Diceros bicornis minor: one gene and its partner. The protein of the gene in region 2 purifies or fractionates together with the protein of the main gene of each other region. This does not show direct contact. Links are inferred from orthologs where the notes say so. Each region holds a gene or a part of one and is shown on either strand. Other genes may lie near its edges.

Region 1 (10,211 bases), on a different chromosome or scaffold from region 2:
CCCCCTGCCAGCCCCTCTACCTCCTGTTGCAAAAGCTGCTGCAGGATACCGATGCGCTGTGGGTGGGACAGAGTACCTCAGTGTGAGGTCAAGATGTGGGTTCAAGTCTCTACCCGCCCTGTCCTATCCCATACCCTCCTCTCATTCTGTTTCTCCCTTCCCCAGCCCTGTCACTACCCATCAGGCATCAAAGCTGTTGCCCTGAGACATACCTGCATCTTTAGCTCCTGGAGGTTGGGGGTTCTACTGGGGTGGGGTCCATAGGGAGTTGCCATAGATAGTTTCCCAGGCCCCTCCTGCAACCTTATACAACTCTCCTGGTCAAATAACCGAACTGCAATCTGCTCCTGCCATATGATAGGATGGGGAGGACAAGGGCCACGTGAGGAAGCCAGGCTAGGGCAGGAAGACCAGCCTGAGTCCCACCCTCAGGAGGAAGGGACCAAGGTCCCTAATTGAGAGGCCCTAGACTTAGATTAAGAGGAGCAGCAGAGAAGCAGGAAGAGTTGCAGGTTAGGTAGCGTTTTCAGAGAGCCCACCTGCCTCAAACTGCTGGGCCTCAGGCCAACAGGACCGAGTGAGGGATCTCAGCATGGGAAGGCTTCTGATACTTACCCAGGGCAGGGCAGGCTCTTCAGGGCAAGACTGAGGGGACAGGCCACTCAACCACTGGGCCTGGGACAGAAGGGTGATGTCAGCAAGGCACCCGCAGATAGGGCCCAGTCTCCCCTTGCCCCTTAACTCTCCCTGTACCCATCCATTCCCTTCCTCTCCCAGCCCTGGCCTCTGCCAGCTACCTCCCCTGCCCTCTCTTACCCGCTGAACTCTGGGGGCCGATGAGATGGGTGTGTACTGGACTTTGGGGCGAATGGCGAGACGCCGCAACACTGAATACGAGGTCTAGGAAGAGATAGGGGTGGCTGAGCAGAAACAAAACCCAGACCTAGCAGGGATCCCGGCCAGCCCTTGCCCAGCCCCCAGGAGCTGTGGACACAAACCGGAGCTGAGAGGCCAGGAGAGGGGACACGCTGAGCCCGTCCAAAGGGTGATGGACGGGCGATGGAAGGTGGCGCCACACGGCCAGGGGACGGCATCAGGTGGGAGTCACGGCTGTCCTGCAGAGAGGAAGAAGAGGAAGAGTGAGCCCCTCCTGCTTTGCCTTCCTATGTCTTGTTCTCACCACAGCAGCCAGGGTGATTCTTTTAAGACCTAATCAGATCATGTCATCCCCCTCCCCATGGCTTTCCACTCATCGCAAGTAAAAGCCAAGGTCTTACACTGGTTTATAAGTCCTTACCCAGTCTGATCCTGTCATCACTCTAACCTCACTCCCTGTGGCTCTCCTTACTCTGCTTCAGCCTCGCTGGAGTCTCCTTTTTGCTGATCCTTAAACACCCTAGGCACATTCCCTCCTCAGAGCCTTTGCACCTGCAGTTCTCTTGGCTGGGAACGTTCCTCCCCCAGATATCTGCATGGCTCATTCCCTCAACTCCTTCTGGTCTTTTTCTCAATGAGATCCGCCTGACTAATAATCTATTTGAAATTGCAATAGCACCCCCCCCCACTTCCACTACCCCTTCAGGGCCTTATTTTTTTTTACAAAGAACTTATCACCATCTGACATAATATGTATTTTACATATGAGTTTATTTTATGTCTTCTCCTTCTAGAATGTGAACTTATTTACTACTGTATATCCAGAACCTAGAACAGTGCTTGGTGCACAGTTGGTCAATAAATACTTGTGGGGTGAATGAATGAATCAATGCTTTTGGCTCACAAGTGTCAGATCCGTCCACTCTCAGCACTGTATGGTTATACAAATACATGCAGGACTGTGACCTCTTACCCCCAGGCCCAAGACACCTGGCAAACTAAGGCTAGTCCCACTCTGGAAAGGGCTTGGGCCCATCTGGGGCAAACCCAGGGTCAAGAACTGCCTGGCTCCACCCACAATCCTCAGAGCTGGCAGCTGCTGGGGAATTCCCCCAAGCATCTCCCCTCCCCCTTCCCCCATCCCAGGAGGGTTCCATCTCACCCTGGTGTAGGTTATCTCTCGGGTTTCTCTTAATGGTACCCGCTGGGCCAGACCGAGGGGACCCCCTCCTCCTTCATCTGAGTGAGTGACAACTTCATGTTCTCCTTCAGGGAAAGAGGAAGCTAGGAGGAGACAGAAAATTTGCTAGAGTGTCTGGAACACCCACCCAAGTCTGGCACAGGGCATTGCAACCTCCTCTGAAAAGGGTATGCCAGTTTGACAGCCCTCATTGCACCATCAGGGGCGGCGACCCATCCAGCATCCCCTTGGAGCCCAGCACCGTCTCAGTAATCACTTATAAATCTGAATACTCTGAGTGGGCTAGGGGTGTGGCAATGGCTCTTAGGGGCTGAGGATAGAGCAGTGAGTGGAACGTGAATCTTGCAGGCAGTGGCAGGGAGAGGGTAGAAATAGGGACCACCTCATTTGACACAAGTGCAACTGAGCCAACCTCTGGCCTATCAAGAAGGTCTCTTCCTCTCTGGCTCCTTCTGATCTGGCCTTCCCCCCTTTCCTCCAGCCTGCTGAAATTTCCCTTGTCTTGCTCCCTGCTGCAGACAGCCCACCTGCCCCTGTTCTCTCCCCACGGGCAGACACACTCACCAGGCTGGACTGGGGTCTCCAGGAGCAATCCTGAGGCCTGGCTCACTGAAGTCCTGATGATAATAAGAACAACTAGCAGTCACAGAGTACCAAGTGTGATCTGGGCACTGTGCTAAGTGCTTTACAAACATCATCTTATTTAATTCTCACAACAGCCTCTAATGACAATACAGACATTATCTTCATTTGGCAGATTAAGGAAACTGAAGGTCGGAGGTTAAGGCAAGCTTGCATAACTAGCAAGTGGTAAGAGTCAGGAATCAAACCCAATTCCCATTTATTGCTACAGTCTATGCTTTAGCCACTAAACAAAAGATAGCACCTCTCATTTCTGTCCCCTTCCTCCCTCTACAACCTGAAGAAACTGATGTCATACTGAGGCCTGGCTATGAAGGCCTGAACCCTATTCCAACAGCTCACCCTGGGCAATCACAGGTTCCCCCTTCCCCTTGGGAAGTCCTAAAGCTACTGGAAGGCCCCAGCTCTGAGGGACCCCTGTATCCGACATTGGATCATCCTTTTCCAAATGACCCTCGCCTTCTCACCGGATGCTTCCACTTGTCTCTCTTCTTAGCTCCTGCAAACTGGGGCGAGCGGAGGGGTAAAAGGAAGGTCCTGAAGGTGGGATCTGACCCACAGGAGCAAGAGATAAAAGCAGAGTCAGAGGTGGGCCCCAAACCTTCTGGACTCACCACCAATCCCATCTGCCTCTACAGAACCCCTCTGGCTCGTCAAAAGGTATCTTCTTTCCCAGGGCCCAGCTCTGTCCCTGGAAGAAGCTCCCAGAAGCACTGAGTTCAGCCCCTCCAGGGCACCTACCAGAGCCTCTAGCCTCTGGGGGTACAAGGTCCGGCAGCGTGGTCCTGGTCCCTCCAGCCTCGAGAAGCAGGAAGCCCTGGCAGGGTCCAGTCGGTGGGTGGGAGTTTTGGGGGCCAAATATGCAGAGGCCCGGGCACCCTGGGACCCCAAAAGAGGCTATCAGCACAGGCTCAAGATTCTCTTCTCAGTCCACCCCAGCCTGATCTCCTCACATCCTTCCTGTCTCATTACCTGGCCCCTCCGGATGGTGCCTCCCTGGCTCCCTCGAACCAGTACTCTCTGAGCCAGACTGGGCTGGCGCCCCAGGTAACAGCTCTTCACCCCCTCACCTGACAGGATGGTGGCCAGGGCCTCAGGGTCAGCCACAAACTCTGTGGCCCCTGGAGCCTCTGCAAGGGAAGAAGGAAAGGTGAGAAGGAACAGGAAGGGGGAAGGCTGAAGTGTCAGGGACCCTAGTGTAGTCACCTTGAGGTGCAAGAGTGAGCCAAAGAAACCCATTCAATTGACCTCAGCTCACCAAGTGTTCACAGGACTTTACACAAGACATTCTTCTAGGCACAGGGCCCAGAGATGAATAAGACAAAGCCTCCATTCTCACTAACTTATCATCAAACCATAGAGAGGTAACAGACTCAAGCCAAAGGATGGACATGTTACAAACGAAGTACTGCAAAGTATTAGAACACAGAGCAATTGATTGTGACTGGGGGAGCTGGAAAAGGCTTTAAAAAAGATGACATTCTGCTAAGGAAGGAGAGGGCTTCTAAGAGCAAAGAGCTTTCCACGAGCAGCGACCTGGACTCTTATAGTAAGCAGGAAATGGGAGGAGTTCAAAGCCCCAAAACCCCACTGTGCCCATCCCATTCTCCCACCCAGCCAAGGAGATAGCGAGTTTTCAAGCCTCCAACAGGTACCTGTCTGGGGAGGGGGCCCAGGCTCCACATTATGTCCCCCAGGGCTAGGTCTGAGCTCCTCTAAGGGGTTCCGGAGCTGAGTGCTCCCCACCAATCTCTCTGATTTCTCTGTTTGATGTGTGGCTTTCAGCCTGGGGCCTGCTGAGTCAACGAGGGGGCGTTGAACATTGAGCTTCTGCACCAATCTCTGGGGAAGAGGAGGACAAAAAGCTGGGGCTCAGCGTTGGGGTGTATTGCTGGCGTGTACTGCCTCCTTGTAGCTACCGTCTTCACCCACCAGGCCCTTCTTACCCTTGGATCTTGGTTCTCCTGGTCCACGGCGCAGGACTTGACTGTGGGGAGAGGCGGGCGTCTCTGAGAGCGTACGGGAATCTTGCTAGGGGTGGGAGATACACCCCGGGGGAGAGGATCCTTCCTGGCTTGGAGGGTAGTCATGATGGCTCCGACTGAGACGGAGAAGAAGGCAGGATCAGGGATCAAAAGTCAGCCAGTTAGTCCCGACATTGGTCCCGACATCCCTGATACTCCCACCTCCGCCCAGATGCATGCGCCCAGAAGACCCCGGTGCCTGCAAGGCCGCTCTTCTGGGAGCCACCTCCAGACACCCTGAGCCTACTCTTTCGCCCCAGGACCCCGAGGTGCCTCTCCTCCCTATGAGCCTCCACAACCCTCATTCCCTTCAAGATCCTCGTGCCTCACCTTCACCGGAACCCCTCAGGGTCGCCCCACTTCCTTCGCTTTTTCCCTGACTCTCTCGGCTTCTGCTGCAGCTACTTCCCCAGTTTGTAAAATACGCCAAGCTCCTGATTGGCTCGTCCACACTCCCGCGGAGGCGCTGACACCTGACTCAGCCGTCCAATCCGCAGGCTTCGGAGGCGGGGCCAAAAGAAGGACTAGTTTTCGAACCGCTTTCTGGCCAGGAAATTACTGACCCGGTTCAATCAGCCAATCCGAGAGCGGAGCGCGGAGTGGAAGGCGGGGAAAGAGGAAGGAGGAGGCCGTTCTGAGGCTGGGAAGGCGAGGCCCTCTGAGTCCGGGCGACAACGGGCGCTGTCGTACTCTCGCGAGGTCTCGGGATTGATGAGGGAAGGACCGTTCTCGCGGCGTTGTGGGAAGGGGTGGGTGTCCGGATTGCGGTTAAGGGTGTTGGAGGCAGCCCCGAGCCCCTGACCTCGCTCTAAGCAGAGTGCGGCGTCCAGCTTCGGGGAAGTCATTCCAGACACTTATAGGAAACACGTTATGCCTGGGACGAGGAACTGCCTCCAAACGGGTGGAGAGGGCCGGAGGGAATTGAACTGAGCGTAACAATAACAAAAATTGAAAGAAACAGTCGTTTTCTCAGTTGAGTCTCACAACCCGGTAACGTGTGGTCTCTCTGTATTTCACAGATAAGAAACAAGACTCAGTGTTGTTGGAACTCATTCAACACACAGAAGGAGAGGGCTCTCACCTGCCTGTTATTGGCAGACAGGGGTGTGAAACTGAGGGAACCTAGAACACTGGTTAGAATGGATAGGGGTAACCCCTAATGGAAGACGGGAAATGGGCGATGGTTTCAAGTTGGCAGGACTCTGGTAGATGTTACCCCTGACTACAGTGGTTCCTGTTACACAAGCCAGGAACCTAGGAGTTATTCTTTCCCTGCTCTTCCAATCTCTTATTCATTCTTACTAATTTTACCTTTTAATTATCTTTGGAATTCATCTACTGTCTTCCTCTTTGTTGCCACCACCCTAATCTACCCTAATCTCACGTAGAGGATTGCAAGAGGCTCCCAACCTCCATTCTCGCTTGCTCTCCACATGAATCCATTCACCATATAGCAGCTAGAGTAATCTTCCCCAAATGCAGATCTCGTCATGTTACCGCTGTGCCTTGACCTCTCCCCACTCAAACTCCCCATCTTGTACCACTCTCCCTCTTGTTCTCTGCTTTCCAACTCCATTGCCTCTTTCCATTCCTCAAATTTGTCATGTTCCTTCTAGTCTCTGTGTCTGGAATGTCTTTTTTGCTTCCACTTTGCCTATTCATGCCTCCAAATTGATATTCACTGTTACTTCCTTAGAGAGGGCTCTCTTGAAGCCCTCTACTCACAACCCACTCTAATCTAAAAAAGATTCCTTTGTTATGTGCTCTTAAAGAACAGTGTTTGTTTCCTCAGAGCATGTATCTCAGTTGGTAATTGTATGTTCATCAATGTGAACATAATATGTTTATTAAACTGTATCTCCCCTGCTAGACCTCCATGAGGGTGGTGACCTTTTATTTTTGGCTTACCATCATATTTTCAATGGCTTGCATTATGCCTAGCTTGTAAAGGTTCTCAATATTTGTTGAATGAGTCAATGGATGGATGAATAATTAATCAAATGAATGCATGGAGAGTCATGGAAGATCTCCAAGAAGTAATATTTGAACTTCCTCTTAAAAAAAGAGAAGACTATTCTAGTCACTAGAAATAGTACTTGTGAAGGCAAAAGAAATGAAAGAATATGGAGTGTTGAGAGAATAGTGAGTCCTTGGGCGTAGATGGAACATAGGAAATAGTAGGAAATAAAACTAGAAAGGAGGTCTCAGTTAAGAGAAAGGGAAAGTCACCTCGTTCCACTAACAGTTACTGTGAATGTGCTGGACCCTAACCACTAGATCAGCAGGGATGGCTACTAATAAGCCTTGTGCACCTACTGTGTGTAAGGCCCTTTGTTAAGCATTTGGGACACAGAGAGGAATAAGGCTGAAGGTTGAAGGATGGGGAGGCACCAGGAAGGAGGCTGGCTGCACAGTGGCTTCATGTGATGTTAAGGTAGGCAGCACAGTGCAGGTCAAGTCCTCAGCATTGTGAAGCTAGAAGCTTGAGTTTGCCAGGCTACCCAGAGTAGATTTTGGGACTGACTCACACTAAGCAAATTCGTAAGAGAAACTGAGTGATTTACCATGAGTGATATACCTCTCAATGACCAAAATATTTATGCCTGCTCCTCAGGGTACCGCCTTCACAGAATCAAGGTACCAGGGAGACTGATTTTATATCAGAAAAGTCTTTAAAAGAGCCAGTGTTCAGAATATCTGTCACTCCTATCAGGGCATCTAATCTGTTTTCTACACAGCGGTCAGAGTGACTTCCTTCTGCTTGTCTTTGCTGGACCTTGTGAATGGAGATTTCAGTTAATCCTCCTCCTCAGGTTATAACATAATGTTTTCATCAATGTGCAAGCCACCTCTCTTGTTTTATTCTATCACCCCCTCCTTCGTTCTCTGTCTGCTCTCCTATTCCTCTCCCCGATATACGTCACTCTAATGTGCTTGATATATGTTCTTAACCATGCATGTATGCTTGTAAAATATGTAGGGTTGTGTATTAGTTTCCTATTGCTGCTGTAACAAATTGCCAGAAATTTAGTGGCTTAAAAGAATACAAAGTTATTTTCATATAGGTCTGGAGGTCAGAAGTCTGAAATCAAGGTGTTGGTATGGCTCCATTCCTTCTGGAGGCTTCAGGGGAGAGTCTGTTTGCTTGCCTTTTCCAGCTTCTAGAAGCTGCCAGCATTTCTTAGCTTGTAGCCCCTTCTTCCATCACTCAAACCTTTGGCATCTGTCATCACATCTACTACTCACTCTGATCTCCTGCCTCCCTCTTATAAAAACCCTGTGATTACATCAGTTCTACCCATATAATCCAGGATAATCTCCCCTTCTCAAGGTCCTTAACCACATCTGCAAAGTCCCTTTTGCCATATAAGGTAACATTCACAGATTCAGGGTATTAAGGCGTGAACGTCTTTGGGGAGGCATTATTCAACCAACTACAGGTTGTTTAGTGTATTTTTTTTGTTTTTTGTTTCTTTTTGGTTAGGAAGACTGGCCCTAAGCTAACATCTGTTGCCAATCCTCCTATTTTTGCTGAGGAAGATTGGCCCTGAGCTAACACCTGTGCCCATCTTCCTCCATTTTGTATGTGGGACACTGCCACAGCATGGCTTGATGAGCGGTACATCAGTCCGCACCTGGGATTTGAACCTGCAAACCCCGGGCCACTGAAGTGGAGTGCGTGAACTTAACCACTATGCCACTGGGCCAGCCCCGGGTGTATGTGTTTCTAATGTACATAAATGGCATTGCCCTATGATTCTGTTTTTACTTTTTTCAGTCAATTCTGTTTCTGGGATCCATCCTTATTGCTATATACAATCTAGTTCATTGCTTATAACAGATTCATAGGATGCCATCGTAGGCATCCATCATGTTTACTCGCTCTCCACTTCTACAAACAATGCTAGAGAATTATCTTCTTACATGGCCCCTTGTGAATCTGTTCAAAAATTACCCTGGGACATATACCCAGGAGTGGAATTTCGATGTCATGAAGCTTATGCATACTTAACTTCACTAAGTACTGCCAGATTATTTTTCGGAAGGTCTGTGGCTGTTTACACTCTCAACAACGTTACTTGAAAGTTCTTATCACCTCTCTCCTCTCCAACACTTGATATTATGCCACTTTCTAATTTTTGCAATTCTAATGGGTTATTTTAAATTACTTTTCTCTGATTACTAGTGAGTTTGAATGTTACTTCATATTCTTGTTAGCCAGTAGAGCTTCCCTCTCTTTGAAGTGCCTACTTATATCCTTTGTGCATTTTTTCCTATCGGTTTTCCTGTCTTTATTCTTGTTGATATATTAGATTTCACTGTATATTCTGCATATTAACTTCGTGTCCACTTGACACATTGCAAATGTTTCCTTTAGGTCTGTAGAGGAATATAATTGATTTTCTATCTGGCAAACTTAATGATCTCTTTTCTTGGTTTTCCTAGTTTGTTGATTCTGTTGGGTTTTCTAGAGATAATTATGTGTGCTGCAAATAATAACAGATTTATATATTCTCTTTAAGTTTTTACACCTTGTTGGTTTTTTTTGTTATTCTTGTTTTGTTTTGTTTGATTTTGTTGTTTTTTTCTCTTACTTCATTGTACAGAACTTTCAATATTATATTAAACAGTAGCAATGCCAGGGGCAACCTTGACTTATGAGAAACCATCTCAAGTTTTTCCAAAGAATAACTTTTCACCTGTTTTGTAAAACAATCTCAAATTTACAGAAAATTTTCATGAATAGTACAAAGAACTTTTTTCACAACCGTTGAGAGTAAGTTGCTAATATGTTGCCCCATCTCCTGCAGATACTTTAGTGTGTATTACATGCTAACAAGGACATTCTCCTACATAACCACAATACAACCATCAAAATCAGGAAAAGAACACTGATACATTCTTACCATCTAACCTCCAGACACCACTCAAGATTCACCATTTTTCTAACTAATGTCCTTTATAGCAAAAGGATCCAGTCCAGAATCATGTGTTGTGTTTAGTTGTCATGTCCCTATAGTCTCCTTCAATCTGGAACAGTTCTTCATTCTTGACTTTCATGACCTTGACACTTTTGAGGATTACAGGCCAGCTATTTGCAGAATGTCCCTCAATCTGGGTTTGTCTGATGTTTCCTCATGATTAGAGTCAGGGTATCCATCTTTGGCAGGACTGTCACAGAAAGGATGCTGTTTTCTTCCTACTGCATCCTCTCAGGTGGTGCTCATTTCCATTTGTCCCATTACTTGATTAAAGTGGTATCTGCCAGGTTTCTCCACTGTAAATTACTCTTCCCTCTTCGTAATTAGTATTTTATGTGAGGGGGAGTTTGAGATTATGTAAATATTCCGTTCCTCATCAAACCTTCACTTTATTTACTTAATTATGTCAGTATGGACTCATAAGTTCCTGTAATAGTCAGAGTATTATTCAATGACTAATATGGTTGATATTGATACTCAAGATGT
Region 2 (10,464 bases):
AGATATCAAGTAGATTTGGGATAGACATCACCGTTTGAGCTCTTTTTTACCCAAATGCATGTGCTAAGATGCCAACCTTAACCACAAATATCCATAAAACTTAAAAAAAAAAAAAATCAACTCTTGTCATTGCATGTTTTATACATTTAAAAAAATTAGCGGGCTATTTAATGAACAGGGAATGTTATTTAAAATAGAGGTGATACTGAAAACCAGTTTTATTCCATGTTAAACCAGTTCACTAAGCCCCCACACAAAATCGATTTAAACAAGCATTTCAATTATTGGGGAGATAAAACTCAAAACAATTTATCAAGAGTAAACATACATTTTGAGCTATTATGCACTATTTATTAGATATGAGCACGTCCCTCAAACAAAAAACATGTATCTTTCAAAACTTTAACAATAATACAAACTTGTAAAAATCACCTTCTAGAAAAGAGGGTACATAGCTCTGGTAGAAGAATCAATTGCCAAGAAGCAAAAATGGTTCTATATTAGCAAAAAGTATGCCTACGAGGAATCACATCATTTTAGATGTTCAATGTACTGTAAGTTATTATCTCCAATAAGGAACTTTAACTCATTATGCAACTCTGGAAATAGCATTTCAAAGCAAAAGCAAAACTTTTTAAAAACATTTAGCTGGTTTATACAATATTTCCAAATCATTTTGTTTTCATATACTAAAAACTGGAACTAAGGCTGCCTGTAGACACTAGGTTAGGAAACAAGACTTGTCTTTAAGTGCCTAATGTGAACCCTGAATTAATTATCTTAGTCAGGAGATATCAACATTTCACTTTCACATAACCAATGGTAAACTTCACAGCTCTCACTTAACATGATAGCATTGACATAAGCAAGATTTCAAAAGATTTCTTCATTTAAGGGCAAATGAGGAGAAATTTTAGGTAATTTAAAATAGTTTGATGATTTTTTCCAAGTTATTAAACACAAATTTAACCCCCCAAAATTTTTAATGCACAATTGTGCAAGCCTTGGATTATGAGTTACCACAATTTCTCTAGCCATCAAAACATTGCCCAACAGTCAAAATAACATATGGTAAGAAATGTCTTAAAAGGGATAACCACTATGTATACACGTGTATACATAAGTTATAAGTCACGCAATTCACTTTGAAAGGGCAAACTGTGTTAGTATCAAGTTTCAAGTGACCATGTTTGATAGTTGCAAGTACTATCTTTACTTCTAAATAGAAAATATACATGAGTATCTGGAGGTAAAACCACCAAACATTCAACAGCAAGTAGAGAGCCTTAGCTCACAGTTTAAATTACTGATAAGGAATACAACACAACTATAAGACTAATAAAATTTTGGGAGAGAAGAGCCAAGTTCGTTATTAAAACTTTCTGGAAGTTTTTGGGGTTTGCTGGCTTCAGACGGTTAAGGTTTTTCCTTGAGGAATAAAAGAGAAATTGCTTGGGGGTGTGAGTGTGGATCTAAGAAATGTGAAAGTTCTTTAAAATAAAACAAAACCTAATGCTAAAGCAAAGAAAAACTGACACACACCTAATCATAAATACCAAGAAAGTCACAAATGAAGCCATCTCTCCTATTAATCTTATTTTTAATGTCACGTATAAGGCAATTCTCTTCTCACTCATAATTAAGTTACTTCTATCCAAATTTTCTTCCCATAACTAAATTCTCGCCAACCATAAACATGCATGTGAAAACATCCCTGGGCAGTCTAAATTTCTACGCTATTTTTTATTTAAAAAAAAAAAACTTGTTTTCAAGTAGTAGCCAAGATTCAATACAAATTAGCATTTTCTTTTTTTGTAGTTTCAAAATAAAATACACGCCAAAGGTCATTCTATATTATGTGTTATAACAAGTTATCCTGAATTTTGCTTTTGCAGATAAATATTCATAGCACTATAAAAACCTATGTAAACTCCCTAAATACCATTTGGTGCACTTACCACTCCACACCCCCATATCTTTAAGTCACAAACACAGTAACTCTCCATAAATAAAACTAAGGGGCAGACGTCAGATAATATCCTAGAGGAGAAAAAAATTCTAACCAAGGGTCTTTTTCACTATCCACATTCCCAAACCAGACATTGTATTAAAATGGGATATTTTCATTTAATTCGAATGTTAGTGACCCTAAAAGACTGGACTAACTCGTTCATTTTTGAATCCTCAGCACACAGTAATTCTGTATGTTTGTTAAGTTTCTAATAGGTCCCACCAAAATATCTTTAAAATATGTTTAAGAAATGATCTTATACCCCAATTCCGAATTCCTAACAATAACAAAGATCTCACTAGATCACGTAGTCTCTCCCACCCCTACCAATAATGATCATTCATTCATTCAAGCCTGTTTGTTCAAATCTAAAATCTTTTTTAGATTTTAAAGGAGTGTGCCTTCACCTTACAGACACGGGGGTGACCCTACCTTCTAGAATAATTAACTTCTGAGCCTACGTCTCTTATCAACTGTTTATAGTCAGTTTTACAATACAACTTTGTGTAGACATTGACAGGAGTCCTTAACTTTGGCAAAATTTGAAGTTTAGACGAATCTGGACAGCCACCATAAACACCACTATTTCAAGGCAAATCCTCCAAAAACACTGGGGGTACCTGAAGTCTAAGTCATACGTATATTAAACATCTTAACTATAATCAAGTAAACTTTTGTCTTAACTGCTGCTTCTTTGAAACTATCTTCTTCGGTTTAAAATCTTAGCACATGAAATTTTAGTTCTAGTCTCATGTTTATAGTCTATCTGAACATAATATTCTCTCAAAGTAACTAAACCACCAAGATATGAGAAATATAACAAAAAAGCTAAAGGTAATTCCACTGAATTATTAAAATGTCACGAAATGGAAACTATTAAATATACCCATTCTTAAGCACTTTGCATATGTAAAGTATGTAAAGAAGAAATCTAAGTATTCAAAGACAAAAATGACTAATAATAACTTTACGCAAAACTTTCTTATGACTCATCAATACTTAAATGACGCCTATAATTAAAATTAAGTGTGAAGAACAAAACGCACCAAAGAATATTTTTTAATTCCTTCCATTCAAAAACTGTCTCCCTAGTTGGGGGGTGGGGGGGCTGACAAGTTTCATTAAGAGGGCCTCATCTCAATCTTTCCTTTCCACTTCCAAAAACCACAAAGTTAATCCCACGCTAACCACTATACATGGACACAATCTCTAGGTTACAACCCTGAGTCATTACGCACAGATCACTCCAAAATCCGCCAGTATTTATAATGAGTTATAACCTAGTGATTAAGAGGCCAGGCTGACTGCAGACTCCTGGCTCCTGGAGTCCCAGCTGTATGACCTTGGATGAGTCACAGCTCAGTTTTCCCATCTGTACAATGGGTAACAATTCCTACCGGTAGTATGAGCGAGTTAATACACTTGAAGCCCTGAGAACGAGTGCCTGGCATTCTTCGTCCTCATCTCCAAATCGGTGTGAAAACAATGCTATAAGGTGTATTTTCTGACAACTTGGGCGGAATTCAAGAACCAAATGGTGCTGGCATTTAAGTGCCGCACCTAGATTACAAATTTCCTATCATCTAGGGCCGGACGAAAGGCAGAGACAAGTACTTGGAGTCACTCACTCACTAACCGTGCCATTTTTAACTATTGCAGCCTAGGGAGGGGCCTCTCTCTAAGCGAGAGTGGGCTTGTGCCTGTAAAGAGACTCGTCAAGTTTCGTGGCAATATCCAGGTATCCATTATAATTTACGCATTCCCAGCCACCAACTCCTCCGGCTGCTAAAGAGGTCATGCCTCCCTCCCGAGCGGCCGGGCTGCCTCGCACTCGCGGCACAACTTCGGAGCACGCCGAGGGCCCTCGCCCCAGCACACAGCCCAAGGGCCGCGGGGGGACCGGGCTCGCGACCTTCCCCGGCGCCTGGCCCAGCGGCCGGCCCCATTTTCTTAGCCCGTGCATTGTCCTTGCGGAGAACCCCGGCGGTTCCCACACTGGTGGGGACCGAGAGGAGGGACGAGGGAGGAGCTGGGGGAAGAGGATGAGGAGGAAGAGGAGGAGGAGGAGGAAGACAACCTCCTCCCCTCGGCTCGGGCGACCAGTGAAGGTCTGGCGCTCTCTCCGGCCCCCAGGCCCCCGCTCCCACCCTCCGAACTTTCCCTCCGCTTGCACCCGCCTCTCCTCCGGGACCGGGCCCGGCGGGCTCCCTCCCCGGCGGCCGGCCCCGGGCCGCGGCGCCTCCTCCTAAAATGGCAGGTCCCTCCCTCCGCCCGGCCAGCCTCGGCGCGGGCCCGGCTGCAGGCCGCGGGGGGAGCCGAGCGCCGGGCCGGGCGGGGCCGCGGCCGGGCCGGACACTCACCGGGACGATGGCGGGGCGCTCGCGCCGCTCCCTCCGGTGAGTCTCAGCCTCGGGCTCCCGCCGCTGCGCTCCGCCGCGGCCTCCGCAGCCAGCGCCGCCCCGGCCGCCTCTCTCCGCCCCCGGCGCTCCCGGCTCGGCGGCCGCGCCGCAGCCTCCTCAGTCTCTCTCCGGCTCGCGGTTCCAGCGGCGCCCGGGGCCGGGGAGGCGACAGCCCCCTCCCCGGCAAATACCGCAGTCCCCGGACCCCGACTCCCGGCGGCGGGGCCGCGCGGCCCGGCCCGGCGCGGAGGGCGGCGGCGACGAGGCCGGGCGCCGAGTGGCGGCCGCTCCCGGCGGCTTCTTCCCGAGGAGGATTTTGTAAATCTCACAAAATGGCGCGCGCTCCAAACCTGCGCAGCGAGAAGCGCCGGGGCCCGAGCGGCGGCGGCGGCGGCGGCGGCTCCTCCGCCAGGAGAGCCCGAACCGCCCGCCCCCGAGTCCCCGCACAGACAGACAGACACTCACACACACACACACACACACGCACACTCGCCCGCGCACACGCTCACTCACACACACACTCGCACACTCACACCGGTCCCGCCCGCTCGCCGGCGGCGGCAGCGGCACCAACAGCAGCAGCAGGAACAGCAGCAGCAGAAGCGGCGGCGGCGGCGGCGGCGGCGCCCGCACCCCCCGCTCGGGGTGTCCGCTCCCTAAGCCCGACCTGGGCTGCGATCAGCAGCAGCGACGGCAGCAGTCTCCCCGGATCCCCCCGCCGCTCTTGCCGCCGCCACCCCCGCCTCACTCCAATGGGGCTTTTTATTATTATTCGGGCGGGAAGCGAAAGGGTTTAAAAAAAAACCAACCAACAAAATGGCGACGGACCGACCCGGTCGCTATAGCAACTGTCAATCAAAACGCAAAACCCCGGCTGACGTGCTGACGTCCTCCTCCCGCCCCCCCGGCCCCAAGCCGGCGGGCGGGGCCTGTTGCTCGGGCAACGGCAGATTCCGTTCCCTCCTTTCCCTCTCCCTCTGCGTCCCCGACCAACCACCCAACCCCCTCAGGTCACGTGAAGGATAAATTCGGAGCTCGGGCCCGCTACGAGTGTCAGAGGAGGGCGCGTGATTCGCTCGGGGGAGGGGAGAGGAGGGGGCCGGCCGGGCCGAGGGAAGGAAGGCGAAGGGGAAGGGGGGCGAGGCGCCTGCCCGGCCTGTGCGCGAGCGCCCGCGGCCGCCCGGCCGCGCCCCGCCCCGCGCCCGCCGCGCCCGCGCGCGCGCCGACTGCGGCCCGGGGAGCGCGCGCGGCCTCCGCGCCGTCGCCCCCGGAGCCCCGCGCTTCCGCGTTGTGCGCCCGCAGCCCCGCCCGCGCCGGGGGGAGGGGGCCCCGGGCGGCCCACCCCGCGCGCCCGGGCCGGGGGCGCTCACCTTGCTCCCTGGGGAGCGCGCTGGCCGGGGTCAGGCGGCCTGGCTGCGCACGTCCGCGCGTCTGAACTGTTCTTCGAAGGGCTCGCGTGCCCCCCTCGCCGGAAAATGCCCACGGAGGCCGCGGCTGGGGGTGGGGAAGCGGCCGCCTCCGCGTTTCAGACATCTCAGGAATTCCGGACGCTTCGCCCGAATCCGGGATGCCCCTGCGGCTGACACCTTGGCTAAATCATGCCGCTCGGTTTTCGTAGCAACCAATGCCAGCGTTCAGAAATCATGGACGGAGCCATCATGAAAACTTTTTAGGCTGTGCACGCTCTCCCAGGCTCTCCCAGCTATTTCAAACCCTTCCCCACCTTTCTGGGCGCAGCCTGCCTTCTCCATCGGAATGCCCCTGAAATTAATCCTCTTGAGCGGTTACTGTATCCTTGTCCAACTCCCTGTTTTTCTGTTTTTCTTTTTCATGCACCATCTCAGCTTCCAGATTCTTAATTCGCCCATTCTGGCTTTCGTTTATTTGTATTCAGTCTACCCCTTCTGCCTGGCTGAATATTGCTAGGTGTGTTCCCCAGGCATTAAAACCTAGGGATGCTAGTAGCCATGCAGTGCTGGCTACTTTGTAATGAGCGGACAGCCACTGGAAAAATTGTGTTTTGTACCTATGCTAATAAAATGGACTTTAATAAATGTTACGCTAAAAAGGATATATAGAGATATCATTTTACAGCAAGTCACTGATTGATTTCTAACCTTGATTTTGCCATCTTATGATAGTGTTCATATCAATTTTTTCTTTAGCTTGAGCTGTTCACAAATACAGTAGCAACAGATACAATCTTAGGTGTAGAGAAAAACACCACCATAACAAATACAGGTCTCTATCGTATGTTACTCAAGGAAAGACACGGCTTTAAATGATTTCCAACCAATGTTTCCCTCCTACAGTTATTAGAACATTGACATACCAAGGCAACCATTCAGACTAGCACAGGTCTTGAAAGAAATCAGAGTAAATCTAAAGTAAATTATGCAAAAAGTAGACTGGCAAATAGCTTAATTCTGACTGATTCTACGTGGTATCAAAAGTTGCCCTGTCAGAAGTTCTTTTGGATTTCTGCTTCAAAATTGCCCTGCTAAGGTAAAGTCTACATTCAACTTGATTGTTTCGAAGGAGGTGGCCAAGGGTGTCCCTACTGAGGTGAGAGATCTCTACCTTGATTCCTCCCAAGCTCGCTTCCACCTATGCAACCAACTCGTTCCTCCCTCCCGCTTCCCTCCTCCCTGCTCCCCGCCCCCACCCCATTCACCACACTTTCACTTCTATCAGATCAATTAAGGATTTGCAACCTTTAAGACTAAAATAAATTTGAGTCAAATTTTTGGTGGTGATAAGGAAACTGGCATAATTAATCTTCTAGGTAACCTGCAAAGAATATGACAATGTCTCAAGAAATGTACCCTTGTCTTCAGTCAAATCAGTCTAGAAGATTATCAGGGTGAGGCAGAATCTCCAGCTTGTAATCATGAAATAATAGAAGACATTGATCATATCTAGAAGGTTGCCCCCTTCCCTCCCAACTCCAACCCCCCACCCCCAGTGTGACAGCCTTACACAACATTGATCAATGAACTGTCATGTCCAGGTTGGAATGCTGTAAAATAGTTTTATCTAGGCTTCACCTAAAAAGTAACCTGTAAATTACGCTGCTCCAAACAAGTAAACACATGTAGGCAGGAAGGACTCTGGTACAGATGCCAGTTTAGTGTTGACAGGATTCAGTGATTAAATCCTTGCTGTCATCTGAGAATCTCCCTATCAGATCACTGACAGATGTGTTACAGATGTATCTATTGATAGAAGTTAACCTCTAAGAGCAAAGACCTGCCCAACTCACAGATAATAACAGCCTCCGCTTATCCAGTACATTCTAGCAACAGTATATACCCATTATACAGATGAGAAAACAAGTCCTGAGTAATTACTTTCCCAAGGTCACACCACTAGTAAGTGGTGAAGCCAAGATTCAAACCCGAGTGTAATTGCAAAGCCCATATTCTTTCCGCCACACCAAGATGATCTGGGATTATTTGGAAATAGAGTCTTTACAGGGATAATCAAGATGAGGACATTAGAGTGAGCCCTAATCCAATATAATTGGCATTTCCTTTTAAAAAGGAGAAATTTGGACACAGAGACAGACATTCACGCACGGAAGACTGTGAAGACACAGAGAGAACGCCATCTACAAGCCAAGGAACAGCTGAGGCTGCCAGAAGCTGGGAGAGAGGTTTGGAGCAGATTCTCCCTCACAGCCGTCAGAGGGAATCAACCTCACCGACACCTTGATTTTGGACCTCTGGCCTCCAGAACTGGGAGACAATACATTTCTGTTGTTGAAGCCACCTGGTTTGTGGTACTTTGTTATGGCAGCCCTGGCAGACTAACACACAGATCCAAGCCAAGATTCCAAGCCAAGCCAGGTTCTTTTCATTGGTTCCACATCTGTTCATGGCCACTCTTCGTGGTGTGCTATACTAAGCCCAAAAGTTCACTAGTTGGAACCTGGCTGGGAGTTATAACCCAAACATTCCAAGAACTAACCAAACATTCCACCAACCAATATCTCTGCCCTTCACATCAGGTGAGAAGGTGAACAATTTACAATTCATCCCTGGACAGTGACGTGGCTAGAATCTGACACCCTCACTCTTCTTACAGACTTCAGAGTAAAGGTCCTTGATTGCTCCCCTTGTATAAGCTTTATTGTTTGTTCTGGTTTTAATAGTAATTCATGTTTATCAAATTCAAAAGAAACAATAAATTAAAACAAGAGAGGGGCCTTGTTAAAACTGGCAATGGTAGCATGCTATGAATCAAGAAGTTAATACTCAGTTCTCTGCACCTGAGATCCAAAAACAAAATAAAAGTAATTTATGGTCATTACAAACAGTTTTACAATGTGGAAAGCAATAAAGAAGTAAAGATTATTCATAGGTATCACCCAGAGATAAACCTTATTAATATCTTCATATTCACATATATTCTTCTAGACCTTCTTAGACATGAGCACACGCACACACACACACAACACATATAGGTATGTTTTATGCCTTTTTTACTTACAATTGTGTTATGAACACATTTTTGTGTTAATCAACTAAAATTTAGATGATTATTCTAACAGCTACAAGTATTCCATCAGCTGAATGAGCCATAATTCAACTGCTTCTCCATTTTTCAAGGAAGTTTTCCTCTTTTTTTTTTTTGTTATTACAAGTAAAGCTACATAAATATCACATGTACACATTTTACACACCTGTCGTTATTTCCTTAGGATAAGGGCGTGCACCCTTAAAAAGCTTTGATTCATGTTGCCAAAATATCCCTCAGAAATGATTTCACCAATTTACGCTCCTAAAAGTAGTATGCGCAGGGCTGGCCCCATGGCCTAGTGGCTAAGTTTGGCATGCTCTGCTTCAGCAGCCCTAGTTCCGTTCCCAGGCACAGACCTGCACCACTCATCGGTGGCCATGCTGTGGTGGTGACCCACATACAAAATAGAGGAAGATTGGCACAGATGTTAGCTCAGGGTAAATCTTCCTCAGCAAAAAAAAAAAAAAAAAGGAGTATGTGAGAATGACTTTTTCCCACATTCTACCACACTCTCTTGCTTTAGTTTACATTTCTTTGACCATTTAGTGTCTTCTTTTTTTATATATGTTTATTGGGCTATCTGTGCCCTGCATGTGTATATCCCATGCCAATTTGGGGGAGAAGATGGAGAGGTGTCATTTTTTTGTCGATTTCTTTTTTTTCCACCCCCCCCAAAAAAAAAGGAAGAAAGAAAAGAAAATTAAAAGGCCATATGCTGTTGTTAGGCTAGTATGTGATATCAACACCAGACATCCATCACCCCAGTCAGTTTATCTGTGGCGATCTCCATTCCTAGCCATCTCCCAAGTGGATCTAGCCCAGCCTTCTTCCCTGCTCTCAGCCTCTCTTCTCTCAGCCTCCCTACCTCCTCTTAACCAGGCACCTGGACCAGGTGCTCTGCCACCTTTGCAGCATCATAAGGTTGCTTGCAACATTGTTTTATGCCTAGATGTGGTTCTAGTGGTGCCGTTTTTAAAAAGAAGGACAATACTCATTACTTTGCTGTCATGTAAGAATGTTTACCAATATTATTTCGTGAGTTATCGTTAACATTTTCTTTTTCTGTGACATCAAGATAAAGGTTAAATAGAAAATGTGAAATTGTTGGATTAAAGTGTATATTTTTCACATTTCAGAATATCTTAAAACAGTATTTTGCAACACTTTGGCAAGACTTGAAAAGAAATACACTTTAATATATTGATTCATACATATATAATAGCTTCCTCAAAATTAACAGATTGAGGAAAAATGCCCTAATGAAACTGCAAAACACAATTAAGTACATGGAATTAAAAATTAGGTAGGATGCACAGAAATCTACAAAGGTCACTTACTTCAATGGTTCATTAGCTCTACAGTACTTGAGAGTTTTGGCTTATTTTCTTGGCTTTTCAATGTAGGTGTGTAGTGGACATCATTTAATATTCCTACAGTGTTTATCAATACACATATTTACTGCTACTGTCTTCAAACATTTTTCCTATTTTTGCTTCAATTCAAAAGATATTTATGTGGTTATAACAGTGGTAT

The links.
Region 1: the proteins of DYRK1A (region 2) and TROAP purify together in Homo sapiens (affinity purification with mass spectrometry; 6 studies listed by BioGRID and IntAct, with this or other methods). This does not show direct contact. The link is inferred for Diceros bicornis minor from reciprocal best matches to the Homo sapiens genes DYRK1A and TROAP.

The regions. Positions count from the first base shown.
Region 1 is NC_080756.1:20,359,073-20,369,283, forward strand, and holds the start of TROAP (tastin), read right to left. Parts: upstream 5,150-10,211; 5' UTR 5,074-5,149; intron 4,821-5,073; 5' UTR 4,810-4,820; coding exon 4,666-4,809; intron 4,562-4,665; coding exon 4,375-4,561; intron 3,850-4,374; coding exon 3,692-3,849; intron 3,617-3,691; coding exon 3,461-3,616; intron 3,270-3,460; coding exon 3,187-3,269; intron 2,695-3,186; coding exon 2,642-2,694; intron 2,161-2,641; coding exon 2,039-2,160; intron 1,116-2,038; coding exon 999-1,115; intron 901-998; coding exon 817-900; intron 676-816; coding exon 616-675; intron 348-615; coding exon 213-347; intron 57-212; coding exon 1-56. UniProt on the Homo sapiens protein: Could be involved with bystin and trophinin in a cell adhesion molecule complex that mediates an initial attachment of the blastocyst to uterine epithelial cells at the time of the embryo implantation.
Region 2 is NC_080766.1:37,534,195-37,544,658, reverse strand, and holds the start of DYRK1A (dual specificity tyrosine-phosphorylation-regulated kinase 1A), read right to left. Parts: upstream 4,448-10,464; 5' UTR 4,372-4,447; intron 1-4,371. UniProt on the Homo sapiens protein: Dual-specificity kinase which possesses both serine/threonine and tyrosine kinase activities. Exhibits a substrate preference for proline at position P+1 and arginine at position P-3.